Styela clava: one gene and its partner. The protein of the gene in region 1 interacts with the protein of each later gene in a pairwise test. Links are inferred from orthologs where the notes say so. Each region holds a gene or a part of one and is shown on either strand. Other genes may lie near its edges.

Region 1 (12,249 bases):
CATGCTAAAACAAAAATGATTGCATTTTTTTGCTGTTAATACGAGGGATATACGACAAGTAGGACGAAATATTGTTAACGTTACTCGAGAGGTGTAGTTGCCATTTTCTTTGGTATAATTATGCTATTTAGCTGTACATTGCTACAAGCAGTGGCGTATCTACGTATAATAAATAGCGCTCATGGCAAGGCATAGAAATGCGCCCCCAACATGGTTGGTTGGTAATCTATAACGACTGTTATTGATATACTTGTACGTTATATTATTTGAGTAAAAATACGAGTTTCAACTATTTCCTATTTAAAATTATTTTATTCAAACATTTTACGATTAAAACTATTTGCCGTTTTGCGTCTCTGTTCAAACGGCGCCCGTGGCACGAGCCATGGTTGCCACACCCTAGATACGCCACTGGCTACAAACGATTAAAATCTATCACATCATACAAATACAATTGATAACCTAAACTAAACAAATCAATAATTTCTGATCATGAAAGTCATCTGTTTCAAGACGCGTCTTGTGCGCAGTTTCACAGCATCAGCTGATATGTAGTTGCCAGATTTTTTTCACGTTGGCCTGTGATTATATACCCACCGATATGTGATAAACGATTTCAGATATTTCACGGCATCATCCGGCGATGAAAGATTTGACGATGAAGACGACGATTCTAATGATGAAGACGACGATGACGGAATGTGTATTATGTTAGATAGCGACGACGAAGATGCGGATGCTGGCAGTAAGTAAAGCATTAGTAGTGTGCATGAAATGAAGTCGGAAAACCAAAAACTGGACGTTACTGTGTAGCATTAGAATGTCGGATATAGATTCTATTTACTACTAAATTGACTGTACAGTGAGTAATGCGGACTCGGAATCGTAGGTAGTTTTATACCGGTATTGGGGCAATCATTCTTATATTGCCATATATTTAAATTCTCAAAAGTTGATTCGAAATTTATTGACTGAAACAAAAAAGGCCTGCAAACGCGTTCTGGATTTTGTTACGCACTATTTTTTGCTCGATTCAAATTTTGTTATAACAGCATAGTACGTGACTCAATTTTCCTTTCTCGATAGCACGTGTATACGTGAAATTTTCTGAATAAAAAGATCTACATATCAAATTTACTTGGTGTTAGCCGTTTGGGAAATCTTAACATCCCATCTTTGATCGAATACTTACTCCATTCAATACGAGAAAGTTGAGAATGCTTAAAATATTGACCCATTATTATATTCCATCTATATATTATTTTGTTTTAATTCACATAATATGCGATAATCTATGATATATATTATATATATGTACATTGTTTGAAATATTTGAATTTAACACAGGTTTATCGGGACTTCATATAAACCTCAAGACATTACAAGCCGTGTCAAATATGCTTGCACATTACACTCCTATAATACAGGTAATTACAAGTCTATAATTTTACTTTGGATGTAAAAATTTCTTTGGAATTATGTTCTAATCTAGATGGCCAATAAAATGATGACCCCGTGAAGCAAATCTAGTGCTCAATAGCCTACTCGTTGAATATAACGAATAAATTTCCTTGCTGATTTCATTCGAAGGAATAACGTCATTTCACGAACACAGATATTTTTTAATGTGTGCTGATATCCCATCGTGGTATTACCTACAACACTGCATTGCTTTTATGTCAAATATTTAGATATATATATAGGTTATTAGTTGGACATCTGTGTACGACAATCGCTTGGTGGCTGTATAGAACCGCGAACTAAGCTGTAAAACGTGGGTTGTTGGGATTTGAGAGGAAATCTATTTTTTGGAACATTGGCTTTACCAAGCTTTCAGCTTGAAGTTGTATTTTAGTGTCGTATTCACTTGGAACCAAATTGTTCAAATCAGAGTTTATGTTCGAGATGACTCAGTAGTAAATCACGGGTGACGTTTTATTTGCGATTCCCTAATTATATTTTCTTCAGTTCAATTTTATTTGCAGTATTTACAGTAAATTAGTCATTTGCGGTTGTTTAAATTATTATCATTTTTTACTTTTGTAGCGTGACATGAACGGTAACCCTGTATTTGTTGCTCCTCCTCCTCCAATTGGCGACGTATCTGCAAATGCCACACCTACGAAGCATACAGCATCAGAAAAATCTCCACTGCGCACAATACTGAGCTCATCGGGAGGTAAATTTTTCAATTAAAGTTAACTTTGGTCGTACATCACAACAAGCGCGAAATTTATCTAAAACACATGCATTTTGCTTTCATATAGATACGATAAAATCAAAAACTTCTAAGATTAAGTAACAATTATAATATGGACAACAACACAATGAGCACAGCAATAGTCGTGAGCATTCCATTCCATTTTCTTTTATAAATTTCAGGCGATGACGTTACAGAAGAATTTCAAATCGCTTTACAGGAACTCGAAAACGTTGTTATTTCAGCAGAAGAGGACACGTTATTCGTTGACAAAATGTCTGAATTAACAGAGGTTATGGAAAAAATGACGTACTTCGCCGCCGAAGAAGTTGATGACATATAAAGGACGCTCATTTAGCGCCATACGTCAATGCACTGTTATTTGAAGAGGTGTTGCTACTATTACTATCTTCCACTCAAGTGAAATAGTAAACTATATAGTTTTCAAAGTATATTGTTAAAAAGCATCGAATTTTATTGCCAAAGTCACCACTTCTATGTATCATATGCAAACAATGAACAGTCACGAGGTTGAAGTTGTTTGACTGAAAAGTCTCCAGGAGAGTGTATTCACACCGGGAACTTAATTTAATTACTATTTAATTCTGGTTGGCTTGTGCAGTGTTTATTACATTACAGTTTACTCACACAAATATACAGTTTATCTATGACAAATGACGTCTTGAAGTTTTATAGTGGGCGGTTAGATTTTGAACGGAGTGGGAAAGTAATTTGATAGTTTAGTTGGAATTCAATACAATTTTGTTGTACTACGAAGCAATGAACATATATACAACAAGAGAGCTATGCTCCAATATATGGACACGTAGCGCCACCCAATGGCAATAATTTTGATGACGTCATAGCGAAAAAAAAAGTAATAGCCTTCTGGAGAAAAATTTTATCTTCAACCACTGAAAATTTCAAAGCAATTGGTCCAGTATTCGAAGAGAAAAGCGACTTTTTAAAAACGTGTCAAAGAACAACAACAACATAATATTGAAACGATCGTTATGTCCACTTCGTGTCCAATAATTGAGAATTCAACATCAGCACACTTTCATAGCGTTAGCATGTCAGTTGTATCACTCAGATTATCATTTCTGATTACCATTTTTATATTACAATAAAATCATATATCTTGAAATAAACTGGACAACGTTTGGATGGAAATATGAATATGCAGTATCAAGAATCAATGCCCTGCTGACCATCTAATCTAAAAATAAATACTTTTGGTTGCGATCTTTACACATTCTTCTAGGAAATCTTCCTTGATGCTGTAGAATCTATACGGCGTAGATCAGCGATCGGCAACCTGCGGCTTCTGAGTAGGATTGTCAGATCCAAGTGATGAAAAAAGACAGATCAAGACAGAAAAAGTCAACAATTTTAACAAGTACAAAAGTATCATGATTTGACAGATTTGAAATATATTTTACTATTAAAAATATATTTGTTATGCTTATTTTGAAGAGATTGTTTTGAAGTGTTGGCGATTATCACATGTTTGAAGGCATCATCATTGTTGACTTATTTTTGATTGGTTATGTTTAAGCAAAAATCGAAAAGTTGAGTAGTAAAGCTTGCTATTGTTGCACGCGTTAAAAAGCCAATATGGCAACCCTGCTCCGGAGCCGCATTCGGATCTCTGGCTCCCGTGAATCAAAGTGGCTACGGCAAATTTTTGTTAGAAGCAGTTGGGATTCAATGAAAATCGGGGGCATAAAGTCGATTACAACTCACTAATTACATATCACAGCCGGTATAAGTCGAGAGCGGTAAAAATAGATCGCATTAAGGTGATTCGAATCTGTCAAAACAAACTTTTTTTCATTTTCCAAGTTTTTTCCATTTTCTCGTAAACTGAATTATTGCATCATTCGTAATTTATTTGCCTTCCTCTTAGTGTGAACTAAAATATTTCATCATAAGCAATTTTCCGGGGGTTTTAGAAGCCACTGATATTAGAGTAGATGTTGCGGCTCAGAGTGGGTTAGGGTTTTACGGAAAAGATGCCAAATGGCTCTTTCAATGCTAATAGTTGTCGACCCGTGTCGTAGATGAACATCATATTGATGACGAACAATGTATATATTTTTTTCTGAAAGCGCATTAGTGAAGCATTACAATTTTCTACTATTTGGAAAGTGATAGAAAATTTGAAAAAAATACGCGAAGGCGAGAAATAGTCATTGAATTGTCCTTTTTCCAACTTTTTAAGATATAATATCTATAATAATATTATTTAAGATTGAGGATAAAAACTATGCTACGTTTCTTGCATAGCCATCTTCAAATACCCATACAGCAAGATTTTGTTGTTGCAGAAGCAACGTAATTTAATTTTGCAGCAAACAATGGTCAGATTGTCTATAGGTGGAGAGATCATTCGATTAACAAAGACCTAATTTTCTCTACGTTTTTAGTTCTATTCGCAAGTTATTTTATTTTACTTATCACGCTTAGTTGCAAAGAGGGAATTTTAATCTAAGAAAGGTGCCGTCCATTCGTTTTAAACCTATCAGCGAACAACAAAACAGACAGCATCCAACAATGAAATTCCGCAATAAAATACACGGGTCCCTTACTTTCTTTCTATTTTTAAGAGATTTCACGCATACCGATTGCAATCTTCGCGCCGTACAAAAATACCTGCGTTCGGCTTGAAAGAATTTCGATAAAAGGGAAAAAGTAGATAGAGCGCAAAGTGGTCGTCTTTCGTTACTTGTACAAAATTAGTGAAGCAATAAATGGGCTTCGTCTAAGTGTTTTTGTTTAAATTATTACTGTCAACTACCGTGTTATTTTTTGCATCTTGTTCCCCGGTGTGCGCCCTAATATTTCAATCTTGGGCAGTCTTGTTATAGATGGTTAGACAAATTTTGCATTTAGGAATCAGAACACACCGCAATAAAAATCCTAGTTTTTGTAAAAAGGGGCACACTTTCTATAACAAAAGTTGCAACGAGAACTGTTTATACCTCATAGATTGTTTAGACATGACATTTTCTATAGATTGTTGAATTTTGCTTTAGCAATAAGTTGAGTCGGCGTCTAAGAAGTAGACTGTGATATCATAAAATGGATCTGTTTGTTCATTGAAATTCGAGAAATAAGTTACCGAGATTAGAAGATCAGAATCAGGAATATTCGCATTAGGATATTGAAAGGCGCCGCATATTAACTAATCTTTTCGAATTGGTGGTAATGTAAGAAGATATGGAGATGCCAAATTGCATCATAACAGAAACACGATATCGAATACTGCTATAGCGTATTAGGTGTCTGAATTAGGTATAAATTATATTTTATCTTATGAAAAGCCCCACGATCTATAGACTATAAATCTTTGTGCATTTTTTTGAAAACTTGGATGACATAATTTAATATCGACGACTCAATATTAAGATTCATAACGAGGCCCGTTGTTTGAGCATTATGACAGATAGCATCAACAAAGTTTATCGCCGAGAATCGTCGTTTCTTGCCTTCGGGGTGTATACAAAAGACGATGCTAATATTATGGAATTTATCGTAGTTTATGCCATCTTGGTTACAAATCAGTGACCGGTTAATTTGACGCAAACCTGACATGAACCGGATATAAGTCGCCTATTTCGAGCATAATTTATCTATCCCCCCGTGGTTGACCCTTTAAAAATTACTAAATGTCAAATCTATAAACGAGTGCTAAAGTAATAAAGAGGTATTAATGATGTGCACGTGCAATAGAAAAGGAATCAAAATTAACTTAAGGAACAGAGATTTGGTTTGAATCAATTTCATATTATATTTTTAAGAATCGATTTATTTTAATAGAACTTTTGATAAATACCAACTTTTTGATAGTAATCTGTTAGTGAATTGTTTAAAAATGATTAAAGTGGTACCATATAATCTGTGCAACACCCTCATCTCATCTGAGCATCTATCGTTCCCTTCCGAAATATATATATTCTTAAGTTACAATATATTGTTGTGTCAGGAAACAAAGATTATACATATGACAAAACAATCTGGAAAATATTCAAAACGAAGCCTGCAATTTCATCCGTCGTCAATGGGATGATTACCTAAATTTGTGTCGCAGGACGTCGTGCATAACGGTTCGAAAGGTAGAATCACGTATAACAATAGATCATTCTTATGAAATGAACTAACTATTTATTGGGGCGGGAAGATGGTGATTTGTCATCAGTCGCTCAAAACGCACATTTGCTTAGAGAATTCCGAATAGTTTTAGGGACATGATGCTGTCTGATACAAAATGCACTTTTGTTAGTTTTTCGTATTCAAATTGAAAAAATTAATTCACAATTCAACTGTTGGTAAAATGTAGATACGTAATATACAAACTCGCGTTGGCCAAATTGAATAAAAGGTCACAGATAGCTAAGGTCGGGTTATCCTCAGATCAAAAATTTGATTAATGAACAAAGGATCAATAACGAAATTTCACCTATATTCTAAAAATCCATCTTGAATATGCATTTGATTGTAAATATTTCATATTCATAGAGTTACCTATTCAGGTGAAATATCATGGCAGAGCACGCTATTAAAAGTTTTCGGTAAAATGGAGCAGTGAATACTTTGTGTTTTGATACTTATTCTTTGCAATCACGATATTTTTTCGTTAAAATACCATTCCCAACACATATCATCAGTCTCAAAATAAATTTCAACGCGTTTTACTTCATACCAGACCAAGCGGAAATTTTTTTTCGTAAACACTATCAAGGTATTCGATTCCGAAGCTTCATAGTTGGGTAATCATGAGAAAACTTCATTCTAATAGCATTCTTTGGTTTACCATTCTTGCGAAATGATAGAAAAAATGCGTTCCAGTATAAGTTCGTGGTAAAACCCGTAGCTTTAAAATGACAGAAACATATCTGTCACATAGGGCTTGTACGTCGTTACGGTTGGCTCATGTTAGTTAATATGATCCAAATGAAGGTATACATTTTGATGCAAGATGAAACTCAATCCACGAGAAGTCAGCAGAGGACAAAAAGTAGCCAGGTGCAATTATCTACTTTTTCCGGCCTATCGGGTGAATTTTTTCCAATAAAGCGTTGACCTATTTTTTTAATATTCATTTTTACAGCTCATTTACTACCATATAGCTTGCGTTTAATACGTGTACAGAGTCTAACAAAAGACGAAATCACTACATAACCACCATTTTCTTACGTATTGATCCACCCAACTGACAAGATTGAGGCTATAAACCACTATCCCCCTATGCCCCTCACAGCCGGCATCAATTTTCCACATGTGAGGACTTTTAACCCACTCCCACAGCAGCTCCCAGGACAAGGGTTTACCGAGTCGGTCAAGACTTTGCCACCGCAGCAACCTCCAATCCAATTTCTCCATAACAACCCTGTCCTCGGAAAACCAGGGTCTATACTACCTCCACCAGTTTCTATTCCCGCTATGTTACCCAAGCAAGGACCAGGTGATAGCACAATTAGCTCAATGGACAGTTCGTCATCAACTCAAAGTTCGAATGACAATCCAATATGCTCCCCTGGAACAAACACGGCCTCATATTCATCTAATGACGAAGAACGAAAGACCAGAGACAAATGTCTTTATCTCAAACAGCTACTGCAAGATAAGAAACAGCTTCAGAATTTTGGCGGAATGTTTGTTCACATTGACAGAATACTAGACGAAGGTAAGACAATTTTTTGAAGGTTATTAATTACACCAGCAAAATGATGCAATATCACCATATTCGACTATTTGGGTAAAATAGAATAGACTCGAATATATATGACATTTTTCTCTTTTAAACCATAGATTGGTAGTCGAAAACTGTGTGACAGAACTGTTAATTTTCAAGAAATAACGGGACACATTTACCATTTATGCATTAGCTAATTATGCGCTCCGTATTTGGATAACACGAGCATGCATTGCTATTCATTTAGGTAGTAAATCGTCTGCGTGTTTGATTATTTTAAATCTAAGGAACGTAGATGAGATTAGATGAATTTGCCATCTGTTTTAATGCACGTCGCTGTGATTAAAAAGATTTAAACTACTGAATGTTAATACCGTGGTAGGAAATATTTCATGCTATTTAATAAATGATATTCTTGGAATAAATTATGACGAAACAAAGACTTGGAGACGAATCAGTCGAGCGTAAACCTAATGTAAACAATACTTCAATGTTCGCTCTCTCGATGCCGAATTCTGCTGTGACCCGTCTGTCTTTTCATTTCTTTGGTTTTCAATGCGGTAGAGATCTTTGTGGCTGCCCTATTTATCGCTCTCGTACTCTGCAGCGTGTAGTTTTTTCAAGTGGTATTTGCTTGCTCTATCATGTTATAGCTACCACAGGAATGCAAATACAAGATAACTTGGTTGTTCTGACGCAGGAGAAAGTCGCACAAACCAACCTAGCCTCAGGTGTTGATAGCCTTAAGACAAGAGTCATATAACATCTTTCGTATGCCAGTATGCGGTATTAAGTTACTTAATACTATGTTAGTAATGATAAAAACAGTTGTAATTGAAGAACTCTTGAACAGAGATAAAGTAACTCAAGTGGACTGACTGATCAAACTCAGAAATTGCCCTGAGCTGTGTGTACTACAGTACTTAGCATACGGTAACTCAGTGCCTGAGCAGGTTGCAGTGTATACAATTATTTAGATTTATAATTACGAGTATAATTTAAACCCAAAAATAAGATGATTTATTCAGAAGAATGAATTAATAGTACAAGGATTGGGAAGCCATGAGACATTAAAAGTTGATTTGAACCAATCATCTAAATTCTACTATCTGACTATAGACAGATATATGATCAAAATTCTTAGGTGCTCAGAAAAAACATAACATAATGCCATAATATAATTCTTATAGCAGTATAAGAAAACAGTTATGCAGCTTTTATATGTATGTGACTATAAATATTATCACATATCCAAATCCGATGTTATGGGAATGTGTAGACATACAGACAGATTTATATACAATTTATCTCAGCATTAAGTCAATTTTGAGGTTAGATGAAATGAATTATAAAAATTAGATTGGACAGTGATTCAATTTTGAAATTTATTAAGGCAATAGATTCCATTCAGCTTCTTGTATAAAAATATGGTAATTTCCACCTTAGGGGCCAATTAGTTCAATACTTATTGGCTTACTAATTCCCATGACATTTCATGACAATGCAATCCCTAATCTGTTTTTATATTTGATTGTTTACAATAGATTTCTGTATAAGTAGGGGTAATTAGGAATTGGAGAGAGAGAGATAGAAATTCAGATTATATTCAGTTTTTTTTAAACACAGACAGTTTCTGATAGGTGGTAGAATCCAATCTAATTTATTTGAGTGAAAAGTTGAATTTTGAAAGCTCAAAGTGGTCTAAAAAAAAGAGTTCTACTATTAGTAGATGTTATTACATGACGAGAAAATAAAAAGTGATATAAAAATGATTTTTTTTATCCCATTTGTGTCAAGGTTTATTTGGAGCATCCTTTGTAGCTATATTTTTCATGGGCCTATTTAGCTTGTTAGTGACTTTGTCCCACAGTATCCATAAATCACCAGGACTGTCAAAATAAAGAGATTAACTTCGTGACATATATTGAAACTCTTTGATATCCTCTTTGTTATTGAAATTAATATATTTATTCTTGAACCAATAACAGTGTTAATAGTTTTAGTATTTTTTATCAAAAATTTGCTCAACTCAAATGCCTGATGAATCTTGCTGGTGCACAAACCCTGACGGACTTTGGTGTTAAATTTGAAAATCAGACTGCATATTTGACAAATTCAATGACTTCGCAAACGTTGCCTGCACAATCCGCGGCATTAAACATGGTTCCATTAAATGGATTTGCAAGCACAGTATCTCAGCCATTGTCGAGAATTTCTATGGCTCCCTCGATTCAAACTTTTAATTCAACTAATAGTCAAATAAGCCAGCTACAAAGTAGCACATCAAGGTCAAATGGTTTTTGCGCAAACACATTGTTAGGTGCAACACAAGCACTTATGCAATCACTGCCACACGATTCTGACAGCAAAACAAAGGAAAGGTGCAACTATCTTCAACAACTATTAAAAGATAAGAAACAATGTCAAAGTTATCCAAGTATTTTTTTACATGTTGAAAGGTTACTTGATGAAGGTGAGTACATTGCTACAAGATTGGGTTATTTCATATAGAAGAATTATATGTTGAGAGATTGTCAAGAAGATTGTCCTGAGTTTTATTATAAATACTTCTTCCGTCTTAAAAATTCTCTTCATAGGATATTGATTATCTGGGTTTGTAGAATGAAATGCAATAAAACTCAGGTGTAATATACACCATTGTTGCCACATTTATCATGAATAATTTAAAAATTTAACTTTTGAAGGTTTTATATGACTGGAGATTTATTACACAAAACAATTGCGATCGAATGTGTGAAAGACTTACTTGATTGATTGAATAGAATAGGATAATAAGAATTCAAAGAATAATGTTAAGAATTTGTATTATAGTTTGAAGGATTACACAATGAATGTTTCACTGTGATGTTTATTAAAACATTCTGTTAGAGTATTTACAACAAAAACAAAGTGAAAAATAATAAGTTATTGTATTTCAATATTGCTATAGCCACAATTTATACATAAATTACACATATTATATTGTGTAACAGAAAATTGTAATACTACAGTTTACATTAATATTGTCAGTTCAAACAAAACTCTCTTTGTTTTGTGTATTGAAACCTAACACACTGCATTGACATAGCAAACAATGGTAGTGGGAAGCAAACCTTTTAACATATTTATTGAGCCATTTTTAAATATTGAATGCGTCAATACAAAGTCAACCACAATGCAAAGAAAATTTCAAAGCCAAATTGACATAATGCTGTGTATGTATGAGTATTTAAACATTGTTTTCAATATACATTACTCAAACTGATGGGAATTTTTCAATTTGTATAATTAAATGTTGACATGTGATTGTATGGTATATTAAGTAAATAAAGTAAGATTGTAAATTGTAAGACTGATTAAGATCGAAACATCATATTAGTTGTTGAGCATATATTCAATAAAATATTCTGTTGCAGTTACCAGAATAAATGTTACATCCCTTCGTTGGTATTATCTTAATAACTATAATACTTCTAGACCAATTGAACTGTTCAAGCATTCTGTAGTCGTTTCCTAAGGTCTTCTAGCAATTTACACAGGAAATAATACAGAGCTCAAACCGCCGGAGTTGAGACTTATATTGTATCTTTGTAATGGTTTTGTAATATGAGTGGACAATTTGTGTACACTTTACAGTGATAAATGAAGCGTTCAGTCTTGTACAAAACATATGACTCACAATGCAATCAATGCTGTTTTGTTTGATATTAGCACATAAAAAAGTTTTAAATTATGGTAAATCTGGCTGTATGTTTATTTTTTTATGACTTTGACTATTTTAGCTGACCAAATATTTTGTGAACCAAACAGCTTAATCAAAGTAAGAATAATTCTAGAGGTGAAACTGAAATGGGAGGATGGGGGATCTCTCGTGAAACCATGAAATGGGGAAAACAAAAATTAATTATAAGCCTTTAGTGAACATTTCGTTGACCAATTAATATTTCAAGCAAATAGCAACTATTATTATGATCTCAAAGTTGTTTCATGTTGACAGGATTGGACGCGATTGACTAAAATGCTTTGGTTTTTGTGATCCAGCGCTTACAAAATATAGAGTGTGTTTCAAGTGGGTCAGATTAAGATTGGTTACCATTGAATGACCACGGAATCACACTTCATAATAGATTTTTAAAATTTAATAGCAACATGTTTTGACCAAATATCAATCGGACATTCTACCTTGCAATGGAAAAATAAATTATATTTGTGAAAATCACGCAAGTATAATATGAGAAAAAGACCGCGCGATATTTGTCAAAAATTGAATTTCCACAGGGTTGAGATAAATACTATAGCTCTAAAATTGTATACCATGAAAGGCATAAATAAACCCTATCGCAACGGACAT
Region 2 (11,903 bases), on another chromosome or scaffold:
CCATATAAGTCAAAATCTTATAAACTACCATTTGAACAATACATCACGAGTGCAAAACCTAAAACTAGCATTGAGATTATATAAAATACTACAAATTGCAGTGGCAAAATTGATGTTATGGAAAAGGCAAAAATTTAAATGAAAAGAATTGTACATATCTAGATGAAGTGAGGCCATTGATAGAGCATGTCACTATGGCATGTTCCACAAATAGTTTAGAAAAGCAAAGACTAATCTGGTTAGAAGTATTGATTAATAGACACCACCCATTTTACTCTAGAATTATGATATTCATTTTACAAGCACAAACAAGGCTAATTAGTACGAAGTTTTTTCAACATCCGGAAATTTAATGAATAGGATATTTACCTGAAATTGCGAGCCTGGTGATATAGTGGACCAGGTGTTGTTGCAGCCAGTCGTCTCGTGGGAGAAGCAGCGGCTGCATACAGTGTTTGGAAAACCTGTTGATTTTTCTGTGAAGGGTTGTTTGCGAATTTCACAGTGATTGGGTCTTTTGCTCCATGGGGAACAGTCCCATTTAGAGCATTGATCGCTATTTCTGCTTCAGGACGTTTATCGAATCGTACAAAGCCCACGCCTCGAGACATACCTGCATTAAACAAAAGCCTATCAATAATGCATGAGAAGCGTAAAAGCAGAGGCATGCACTTATAGTATTGAAAACATTTTAAATCAAAATTTCTATACTAGATAGATGAAAGTCGATTTTTGAAAATGTAAATGCACAGAAAAAAATTACATAAAAAAGAACGCATCAATATTCGACGAATAGAATACTTTTTTTTTCATGTTGGTATTTGACCTCTTTGTTTATTTAAAACTTACGCGTATCAATATGACTAACCTGTGCAAAAATCTACCAAAATTCTTGATGTTATGATTCTACCATATGGACTGAATATACGCTGTAGATCTTCTTGAGTCATGGACTTTGGTAAACCACTAACATATAGATTAGCATCTTTGATCAATGGAGTACTAGGACGAGCAAATGAAACCTAAATATAGGACATATTCAAGCATATTATAAATATGATCTCTACATTATTCCATGCTATATAAAGCACCAGTGAAACAGAAAAGAAATTCAAGATTCTTGTATATTTATATATGGCATATATATATATATATCCATCACATTATTGATAGCAAATTACACAGCAACAAGTATAAAATGTTTACCTTGATAGTTTTTTGCTGCATTCTTAGTCCATTCAAAGATGTTATAGCTTTGTCAGCATCAGCTGCTTTAACAAAATTTACAAAGCCGTATCCTAAACTTGATCCTGTCAGTTTATCTCGAATTAGTTTGCATGATTCCAATTCTCCAATCGAAGAAAACAAATTACGCAAATCTTCCTGGGTCATTGTTTGGGGCAGATAGTTTATGATAAGATTAGTTTTGGACTCGTCATCAGTTGGTGTAGAACTCAAGCTTCCGCCGACATTGACCATATTAGAACTTGACATAACTGAAAACAAATATAAACAATCATGTTCATTCATACAATAAACTTTTGAGATTAAATTTAACAAATGAATATTCTGATGAGTTATGCACATATATATGAAGCAAATATGGATTTAAGCAAAGCCTTATGCTTTAATTAAATTACAAAATTTATGAAATAAGTCACCAGCGCACAGTTCTAAAACTGGCATTTTAAACTGGCATTTGTATTAAATACCTGATGAGTAAGAAGCTGGCGTTCCCGGACTAGAATTTGAGATGACAGCAGGAGAAGAGCATTGATGGGGCTGTTGTTGAGATTGGGAAAAAACATGGGCTGCAACCTGATGAGTGGCATGCTGAGCATTCATGGTTAACGAATCAACAAGAGGATTCGGTCCATTAATTAAAGTTATGTTGTTCATGTTGAAATCTGTAATGATCAATTCATTAGGGGTAAAAAGATATATTACCAAAAAAATTCATTGTCAGAACCAAACGCTCACAAATGATGTTAATGTAAAACATCAAATAAAAAGACTGACTTGGGACAGCCTTGTATATAGCCTACATAAGCCATATTCATAAACACTGAGTGATGAAATATTTAAGCATTATTAGATATGAAAAATGACCCCAGGGTTGGCCTATTATTTCACCAAAAAAAAACTGCAATCTGTTCGTTATACAAATTAATATTGATAATTCTGAATGAAAAAATTAGAAAGCTGTACCAACTTTGTAATTTCAAGACTATCTTTATAAAAATTTAAATTAGAACATTAACACTCATTTAATCCCCAAGTACAAATATATTTTTAAAAAAAATCTATATTTAATATATACAATTGTCAACAGCTACCTAAACTTTGAAGCCTGATTCTTCTGTTAGCATAATAAATCATAAAGAATTTTCCTAATGGTGACTAGCACACTAAAACAAGTTTTGCAATATTTATCAACATTATTAAACTGATTGAGATGAGAATCATACTGAAGGGATCTTGAAGGGAAATTTGACTTGTTCACAGATTGAATTAAACAGACGCAACCTTGGTAAATCTAGGCATTTGTGCTAATGCAAATAATGACCTAATACAGCTTGTATAAGCTAAAATTATAAGTGCTCACAGTTATAAGTATAATTTTGTACTGTCTGTATCCTAATAAAAGACATGCCAATAAATCAAACATTTCAGTATATTTGAGAATTATAGCAGAGATTCAGTAAATTAGTAAGTATGGTAAGTAAATTCATTATATCAAAAAAATTTCTCATGAATAAACACTGAATACTGTATTGCACCATTAATTTTAAACTAATACAGCCCGTCAGAAAAATGACCGGGTATCTTAGTAACTGGTATAAATACAGCAAGCAATATTTGCCAAATATCGATAATATAAAAAGAGTTCAGATACCTAGCATATGGTTCTATTACAAATTTACGACACTCATCATTATTCCTGATGGAACAGTTAACAGCGGATATATGGATTTAATTCCCAGAATAGCACAACTACATATTGTATCCCGATCTATCATATTTTAGAAAGCCCCAATGCTGCAATGATCACATTTACATTACATGTTAGGATCTCATTTAGAAAAACTCCAAAGTGAATTCATGTTGATTTGAGTCTTCGATGAGAAAATAGCAAAAGTTGACCAACATAACCTCAATTAAAATGTGATAACGCATCCAACCACCTTTGCTATTATGTATAGCGTCTAGTTCGTCTAGTGTACATACAGTGTGCGCTAGAATACACTGTCTTGCAATGCAAGTAATGATCAATAAGCCAAATTAAGAAAAAGTAGAAACGTAACTATTTTTCAAACCAACTTTGATTACAACTCTCTGTCAAGCAATCGGGAGTTTCTCGCCGGAGCTCTGACGCTGTCTTTTCGCTCTTTCCCTTATCATTGACAGTTATGTATTTACCTAATACTGTAATATAGGCTATACCTATGAAGCAGACTGTCCATGAGCCTTGGGTCAAGCGCAAACTTATCTGATAAGTTTAGAAAAGTCTATGACTTCAAATTCAGCCAAGAAACTAACTTACTGCAGTACTGGAGTACGGTACTGCTTTAAATCTCAAGTTCAGTAAATTGAGGATCTGGTTCAATTCTTACCAATCTGGACTACAGGACTATAGAACTATATAAAGTCTGAAAGTAAGACGATAATACATTACCAGATTACTGCAAATAATAATACCAAATGAAGAACTTGGCATAAACCCATAATCCTGTAATCAGTCAACAACCCCAATTTCTGAATTTAAATCATTGCAGCCTTACTGCATTATCGTAGCAGATTAGGAAAGTAGCATTATATCAGTACCGGTATATTATTAACACAACACTGCAGTAACAAATTGATGGGATTAATTCAATCTCTCAAACAGCCATAATCAACATGACAAGGCTAGGCACAACTGCACAATCCAGCAATCAGACAATGGAGTGGTTATGCGGAGGACGGATTACTGGTAAAATGTGGGAATAATCACTTCCGATCGGAAGTGACTCGGGGTCGGTATTCGTATTAGGCCTATAACATGATAACTGCACGAGCTGACCATTGAATGAGTAAAACATACGACAGTACCATACTGCCACAGTAAATATGTAAACTCACAAATGTCTGAATGTCAAAATCCATGCCGCACAGCTGTACGATAAGGAGATGTGATGATACTGGTACGGTACCGGTACAAGCGCAGGAAACTCTTTGGTTTCAGACTGCAAAAAAAATGCTAAATTGAAGTTTAAAAGATAAATTAAACTCACCAAATATTTAAACACAAAAAGATGCATCCAGTCCGTACGCGCGATCGTCATCCACTGCGAACAAAATTCAAATAACACCGACAAACTTGAAACAAGAAGGCTCCGAAAAAACAAACTGCCCCAGAAACGCCCACAAAACTAGTCCAGCGACGGAATGGCAGGCATGCATCGTTATTTTATGCAGGAAATGGAACTGCTTCCAGTGTATATGCACAAATATATCATGCCTTCAATTGATATTATTTATTTCAATGATATCATGAAATTTACTGCTTATGTGACTCAACAATTATAATGAAATCGATATTGCGTAAAACATGTGATGATATATTTTATTGGTAAGTTTAAAAATACTGCGGATGAATATTTATTCAAAATGCATGCGTGCATAATGATATGCATGAAAGATCATAGTTAAGATCTCGAAGTATCCATTCACTAGAAAAGGTTTTCTCCACAAATTTGTTCTTCAAAATAAATTATGCAACTAACTTAATTTAAAATATCAAAAAGGAATGTGATCATTTTTCATTACAAAAATCCAATTGAACTAGCTGTTGTATTTACGATTGCATCAGTAATACATTCCAGTTATTTGTTTCCGTCATGCAAGAACCAAGATAGAAAATGATACACATGAAATAAATAAAAACAGAAAACGACCCTTCCTGAAATCACCCTTTCTAACCTTCCATACTATTTGCATGTGATTCAGAAAACTCCAAGAATTTGATTCATGTAGATCCCAGTCTATGCTAAGACAATATCACCACGCGAACGATGTATCCGCAATAATTAAAATCAAAAACTGGTGGAAAAAATGTTTATTCCTTATCATTAAAACAAGCTAACGTATTGGAAGTAATTTAACATGAAAGAGATATGGTAGGAATAATTCATATATATATAATAGGATTTCACATCTATGGATGTTTCCCCGAGTATCGTTTTCCTTGTTGGACACGTGTACGTGCGTAGCATTACATAAATACCTGTTTTATGAAAAACTCAAAACCGCCAAAAATGACTTACGCAACTCGGTTATTAGCGTGACGATATAGGTTGATAAATACTTTAATAAACCCCGAATACAAAATAGGTTGAAAATACTTTGGGTTGTTATGACAAACCTTGGGGTTTTAAGTTAGTGCGTGCGCCTCATTTTTATTCTTATAATAAATTGTAGCTCAGTTTTACGAACAGGTTGAATGTAGGAAATAAGTGACACAACAATGACTATTTCCACGCTACATATTGGTTTATAAGGTTACATCTAGGGTTAGTTCGGATACCTATAATTTTCACTATCCGGATAACGGATATATCCGGGTATTGCGTATTTTAAATATCCGATTAACTGGATAGTTACTGCTGATTTTAGAGAACCGATTTCGCAGGTTTTTTCGCGGTGAATTGACCAAGGACCCACCACACAATTCTGTTGTAAATACTCACATATGTATTATTTTTCTTGAATAAGAATGATTGTGCATTTTAATATTGCATGTGTCAATAAATAATAATTTAAGCTCAGTAATCGTACCGATGTACAGCGGAATAATAAAATGAAACATTTTTTGGAAATATTGTGTCCTAATTGTTTTTCCCCCGACTGCTAAGTTATTTTCTACTATTCAAATAATATGTAAATAATATTTATATTATTTCTACTTTATTGTTAATTTTTTTAAAAGTTTCTTTTTGTGTCCAGAGCCTCTTTTCTTTAAATTTTGACTCGTACTAAATTTTAGTGTCGCAGACTCACAATGATCGTTTCTGATCATCCGCACCTTCCTATCAATTGCAATGAAATTTAAAATTGTCATGTATAGTATTTTGTGTTCTATAATATTTTGTGATTTCTTGCACGACGAAATAAACTTTGTTAATATATACCATAAGAGCATACATATAAATGAAATCATGAACACAAAAAATCGTGCATTTCGAACATTTTATTTCGGGGAGAGAATTATTCAAAAAAAATAGAATATAGGGGGGACAAATTCCGTGAAGTGTATAGGAAAATATAAGTAATTTGAACAAAATTTTTAATAACAAAGCAAATTGATGAATATGAAAAAACCGAAGTGGTCAGAAATTTCTTCTAATTTGAAAACTTCACTTATTTAACATGTCACTGTAAATATTCTCACGTTTGTACTAATTAGGCCACAACTTCAAATCTATTTCCATTCGAATACCTTTTAAACTAAATTAACAGAGCCAAAACAATGCTGCGCCAGTTTTTGAACAACTTTACTTACCACCCTAAATGAGTAAACGAAAAACATGACACGATACAGAGTCTGTCAAATTAAACTTTGCTGAAATATTATAGACCATTTTCAAACAAATTTGTTTGTGAAAGTTCCATAAAAACCATAAATGTAATAACAGCCTTTTCCTCCTCTTTTTGAAATTTTCGAAAACGTCACTAATAAAGGCGGTCAAATTTTACAGGCTAATTTTGTTATCATCGCCGATCGTTTTCTTCCGCGTCGCGTGATTATTTGGGGAATTAACATCGGCATTATGGCAGTTTTAATTTGAAAAGAAGTTACATCCCGTGAAAAGTTACCCTTGTTGTAAATTCATTAAATACAATTATTACGAAATTTTGGCGATTCAACAGCGCCTAAAATAGAGTCTTGTTTTATCTATCACTGGCTCATAAAACAAGAGTCGTGGTATTTTCGTTAGCATTCACTTCCTTATTTTCAGTCAAAAATGTGTGTTTCAGATCTACTCTCTTAACGATAGATAGATACGACGATAGATAACATACTGCGGCCATTTCAGTTCCGGGCGAAATAAAACAATTATCGGCGTTATATACCGACGAGACTGAACCCGACTTTTCTCTCGAAAATGTTGATATATAACTATAAGCAGTTTATATTTACGCTATAAGCTAATTTATATCTGCATTTATTGTACTAAATAAATTATACTCATTGGAATTGCAATAACAGCTCAAATTTGATGAATTTTCAAGATCGCTAAAATAAGAAATTGGATTTGTTCGTGCAGCTTACCATTTATTTTCATATCTAGAGTAGAAATGCTTTTACTTTAAGGTAAGTCGGGCTCTTCTATAACGCAAATATGCAATAATCACATTTTTCTGCGTGTTTTGTGATGTAATACTTTAGTCAAATTCACTCCAGCATTACACGGATGACTAAAATATAGGCCGAGTAGTGTGGATATAAGTGATTATTATATTCTCTGAGAGATGTCAGTGGCCGGTATGTTAGTCGTTGGTGGCCACTCAACAAAAAATATAAAAATCACTAATGCGCATATGCATTATTAATACTGCTCTAGTATCCGGTTAACCGTTACAATAATATCCGGATATCAGATAGCAAAATACCTCTTGGTTAACCGGTTATCCGGTTAACCGCTATCCGGATAATCCAACCCTAGTTACATCACAATGTTCATTTTCTTTAACCCTTCACAAAATTTCCTTCCCTATTGTGAAGTTCTAATTGCGCTTCTAATTTCAACCGTGGAATGGGGTTAAAAGGGAGCTTGCACAATAGCGTTCGGGGTTTGGCAGACCTGCAATAGTTAAGAACCACTGCTCTCGGTTAAATGCATACTTTATCACGTAAAAATCGTGTTGTTTTGCAATTATCTTTTACGTCATATCATAAATAGTTTACACCAGTATGTTTTACGTCAAGTATCCATGCTTTAGATTTAGAAAAGATCGAACTGATAGCGAAGCGGAGTGCATTACTTGCGGCTACAGTTGCTCGTTGACAAGACAAGAATGCATTATTGCATTGTCGTCACATCGTCTATTTTCGCTTCTAAGTTTAATCCTAGAGAATTTAGTAGATATATAATTTATATATCTCAGGCAGAGGTGGAATAATATGGTTCTACCAAACGATGTGTCCTCGTTTCAGGATTTGGAAATATGGTCACCCTACACAACCGGCGCTGCATGAAACGGGTTCAAGGCAATTTTTTGCGGTATGTTATTAAATTCACTCAACATCAGACGCGATCGACGACTCGAGACGTGTTGGCCATTCCTGAAATATCTATAACATGGGATAGAGAAGTAGAAGAAAAGACAGCTTTATGATATTTCTAACCCTGACCTATCCCCGGTTGCCAATCCATGGGTACGGGGAATCGTAAACCAAATATGTATTTGTTTCAGGTGCGTTGATTTGATGGTGGTAAAAACCGTAATAGAACAGGGCTTTGTTTGCAAGAAAGAAGTTAATACGTGTCCGCAGTTAGTCGTCGTGAATCATAGAATGAAAATGTTTTTGAAGGGTTCATTGTGGATAAGTGCATGAGACGACGAGAAGCCTTGTCATATCGGTTGTGCAAATAACCATAACTAGGCCCCTAGACAAATTCAGCACTCGAATCCACGATTTCCATTCCACTATGTAATTCTTCGTTCCTCTCCACTTTTTCTCTTTGATAAGCGACGTTTGCTTTGTTTAGCTGACTCTCTGGTGTTCTGTCAGTCACACACAAAATAAAATTTTATAACGGCTGATTTAATCTATTTTTATATGTTTTATGGCAGAAACACTGTAAAGGTATACGAGACAGTGTCTTGATATTTACTGGACATTTAAACTCTTCAATGATGACAGCTTGTGCCTCTACGGCAAATTCTCACTGTGTTGTGTTGCCACCTCGGCAAATACATAGCGAATGACATATATATATATATATATTAATGGCTGGCAATAAGGAATTATTGACTGAATCTAGTAACCACGTAACGACATTTTAATAATAAACTCTCAGATGAGATTTCTGTAAGTTGGGAATATTTGATTACACAAATACTGTGAAATATATCACGAATCGTCGACGTCATCAGAAATGAGCAATATGGGAGTAGATATAACTTATCAAGAAAAAATATGAGAAATTCAGCCACCATTGTCCCAACAAGTGAAAATGTATGAAAAAATTAAACGTTTTTTAAAGCCGATCTGTAATCCTTGGAGTTGTACTTGGAATTACACAGCTCGCAAAAATGTATAATAGGATGAAGTTGTTTAATGAATTGACCGTGGTTAACGATTTAGATTGGAACTAGCACTGTCACCCCAAACTGATGTCAGATAGATATCAGCGACGTATAGTCATATATATAGGGCCGGGCCATAATATACCAAGGTCAAGCGAATAAAACAAATGTACATTTAATACAATCCTTCCATACTCAAGGTAGGCTATAACAAAGAATAGATAATGATTCAGATACCATGGCGACAGTCCGAGCATCCGAACGCGCAATGCAATGGTGGCCACGATTTCCGATAATATCGGAATCGCAGTCTCAGGTTCGACTGGCAAAGGTTAAATTCTTTTGATACTGACAGTCAGAGATAGTTCCACTCTATCCCACAAAGGTAAGTAATATAATAATAAATGAATTGGTTATAAGTTAGCTCCATCTCAAAACCCACCTTGTATACAATCATTTGTTTTGACTTTTGAGGAGTATTTATGTCGATATAAAAGAGGCAGTCAGCAACTTTCATTTCTAAAACGGGCGGCAGAAATATTTAAACTTGTTAAAAACTCGAATGAGCAAACAACGTATGGTGCAATTTCAGTACTTTAAATTAAGCGACATTTTCAGCGGAAATTTGTCGGCATTCTAAAATGATAGTAAGTTCTTTATGGATACATTTAGAAACCTTAAGTATTCAAGACTTATGAGACAATTAGACAGTTACGCATGGATAAACATACATCTGCAATCAACTCCAACTCCAAATAAAATTCAATGAGAAAATAATATTTAGTGATCCAATAATTTTGCCACAAGTTTTTGTTGAGTGATATGACACGAATAAAGGCACAGCAACTCGAAAACAAAATCGAAATGTTTTTGGAATTCTTAAATCTAATAATTTCAGCAAAAATCGAATTCTTTTTCGAAAATACTTCAGCTGACAAACTTGTTTCAATCATATTTATTAGCGTTGTATTGATTTCATGTCGCCTGAATTAAAAAGGTATTCAAAACATTATTAAGAAGATATCTTTTGTTGGTGCTTATGTCTGTACGTGGAAATTGGATTAAAGCGGCTTAACATAAGTGATATATTTCGAAATCGGTAGAGGTGATATTGATATTCTACAAACTAATAATGTCAATAATGTCAATGAGTCAATAATGGCGCATGGCTGTGAGGTTCTAATTTTTTTTTTTTTTGGAATGTTCAAATTTTCAATAATACCCCGAAGATTTGAATGTACAGAACATCTGTCCCTAAGTTAGTAATAATTTTGACTCCGACAAAATCTCGACTTGAATTCATTTGAGCGTGATTCTTTATCAGTCAAAAAGTTTGGCTGCAACTTCGACAACAAGGTTCGACGACATAAATGTTAATTTTTTTTTCGGAATATTCAATAGTGCAATAAAATTAAACTGCCGATAAGAAACTTGGTTTGAACAAAACCTTTTCCATTTAAAATTCATGTTTTGTAGAATTTAGATGAAGTCATGTTTCATGTAAAATTTGTCGTTGGTTTTTATATCATGATTTATAACATTTTGTAGAAAAGTTAAACATGGTTATATTTTTATGCCAGATGAACAGTTTATTCGGATGTAAATTGCTATCGAACAGAATATTATAAGATCGTACTAATCACATTCTAGTGTAAACTATTTATAATATAAATTTCAAATACTGTTCAAAATATAAAAGCAGAAAAACAAAAGATCTTCAAGTATATTTGTCCGACCCGTAATCAGAAAGGAATCGACACGATATTTATTGGATTCTGCGTGATGGGACAGTTTCCGGATAAATATAATCTGGATCAGTAAAATCACCATCGACATATGTAACTTCGTATACAACCTCATGGCGAGAAAGGCTCGTGTGCGTCATTGGTTCCAGATATCCATTAGGTGGAGTGTCAACTGGAGCAGTAAATTCTGGTTCTGTAATATAACCAGTATTTTCATATCCATCGTTGACATTGCCTTCTTGACGATTTTCTCTTGAGTACATCGCTGTAAGATATTTATTGATTTGTGACCCCTTTTTAGCTTCAGAAGATGGTCTGCGATAATCATCCTTATGATCGCCAGATGGTTCGGTTTGTTGTATTGGTCCCCGGGAAATGCCTATCTCTTCGTACACCGGAGGAGGTGTCGGTAACGGACGTTTCCGATAATGCACTGGAATGCTTTCTTCTCGATGTTGAAGTCTAGAAACGAATATAATCTTAGATTTATTATTATTAATTTATTCGCTCCCGACAAAGCTACGAAAAGCATCCTATTCAAGCAAGACGTTTTACTGTGTTAGTTGCTGTCACTATGACGCCATATATATTATTTGTTCATGTTTGATTAATTAATATTTGACATCGAGACCTACGTTGCTGATAGCAACTACTAGTAAGTATAGAGTTAATAAGTTTGGAATGACCGGAAGGTTTTTTACAGAATAAGCTACTCATTCTTTTAATTGGTTGGTATTTACCTATACTGCAGGGCTGTGGATTCGAATCCAATCCGAACGAAAATCTATTACCTGCTAATATAGCAAGACATTATACGTGTTTAGTTTTTGTTAACGTCGTTATATTATATAACATAATATGTGG

What was found.
Region 2: the proteins of KH domain-containing RNA-binding protein qki.S-like (region 1) and ELAV-like protein 1 interact in a two-hybrid assay, tested with the Caenorhabditis elegans proteins (2 studies listed by BioGRID). The link is inferred for Styela clava from reciprocal best matches to the Caenorhabditis elegans genes asd-2 and exc-7.

What each region holds. Positions count from the first base shown.
Region 1 is NC_135250.1:10,359,022-10,371,270, forward strand, and holds the start of KH domain-containing RNA-binding protein qki.S-like, read left to right. Parts: upstream 1-7,313; 5' UTR 7,314-7,450; coding exon 7,451-7,889; exon of another isoform or gene 7,890-9,599; intron 9,600-9,861; exon of another isoform or gene 9,862-9,938; coding exon of another isoform or gene 9,939-10,371; intron 10,372-12,249. Other genes in the region: uncharacterized protein LOC120348618, read left to right, coding at 621-745, 1,348-1,427, 2,047-2,179, 2,383-2,543. UniProt on the Caenorhabditis elegans protein: RNA-binding protein that binds to the 5'-NACUAAY-N(1,20)-UAAY-3' consensus sequence in pre-mRNA introns to promote alternative splicing.
Region 2 is NC_135251.1:29,564,351-29,576,253, reverse strand, and holds the start of ELAV-like protein 1, read right to left. Parts: upstream 4,436-11,903; 5' UTR 4,275-4,435; intron 1,908-4,274; 5' UTR 1,900-1,907; coding exon 1,713-1,899; intron 1,497-1,712; coding exon 1,207-1,496; intron 1,023-1,206; coding exon 869-1,022; intron 614-868; coding exon 370-613; intron 1-369. Other genes in the region: uncharacterized protein LOC144419994, read right to left, coding at 11,060-11,501.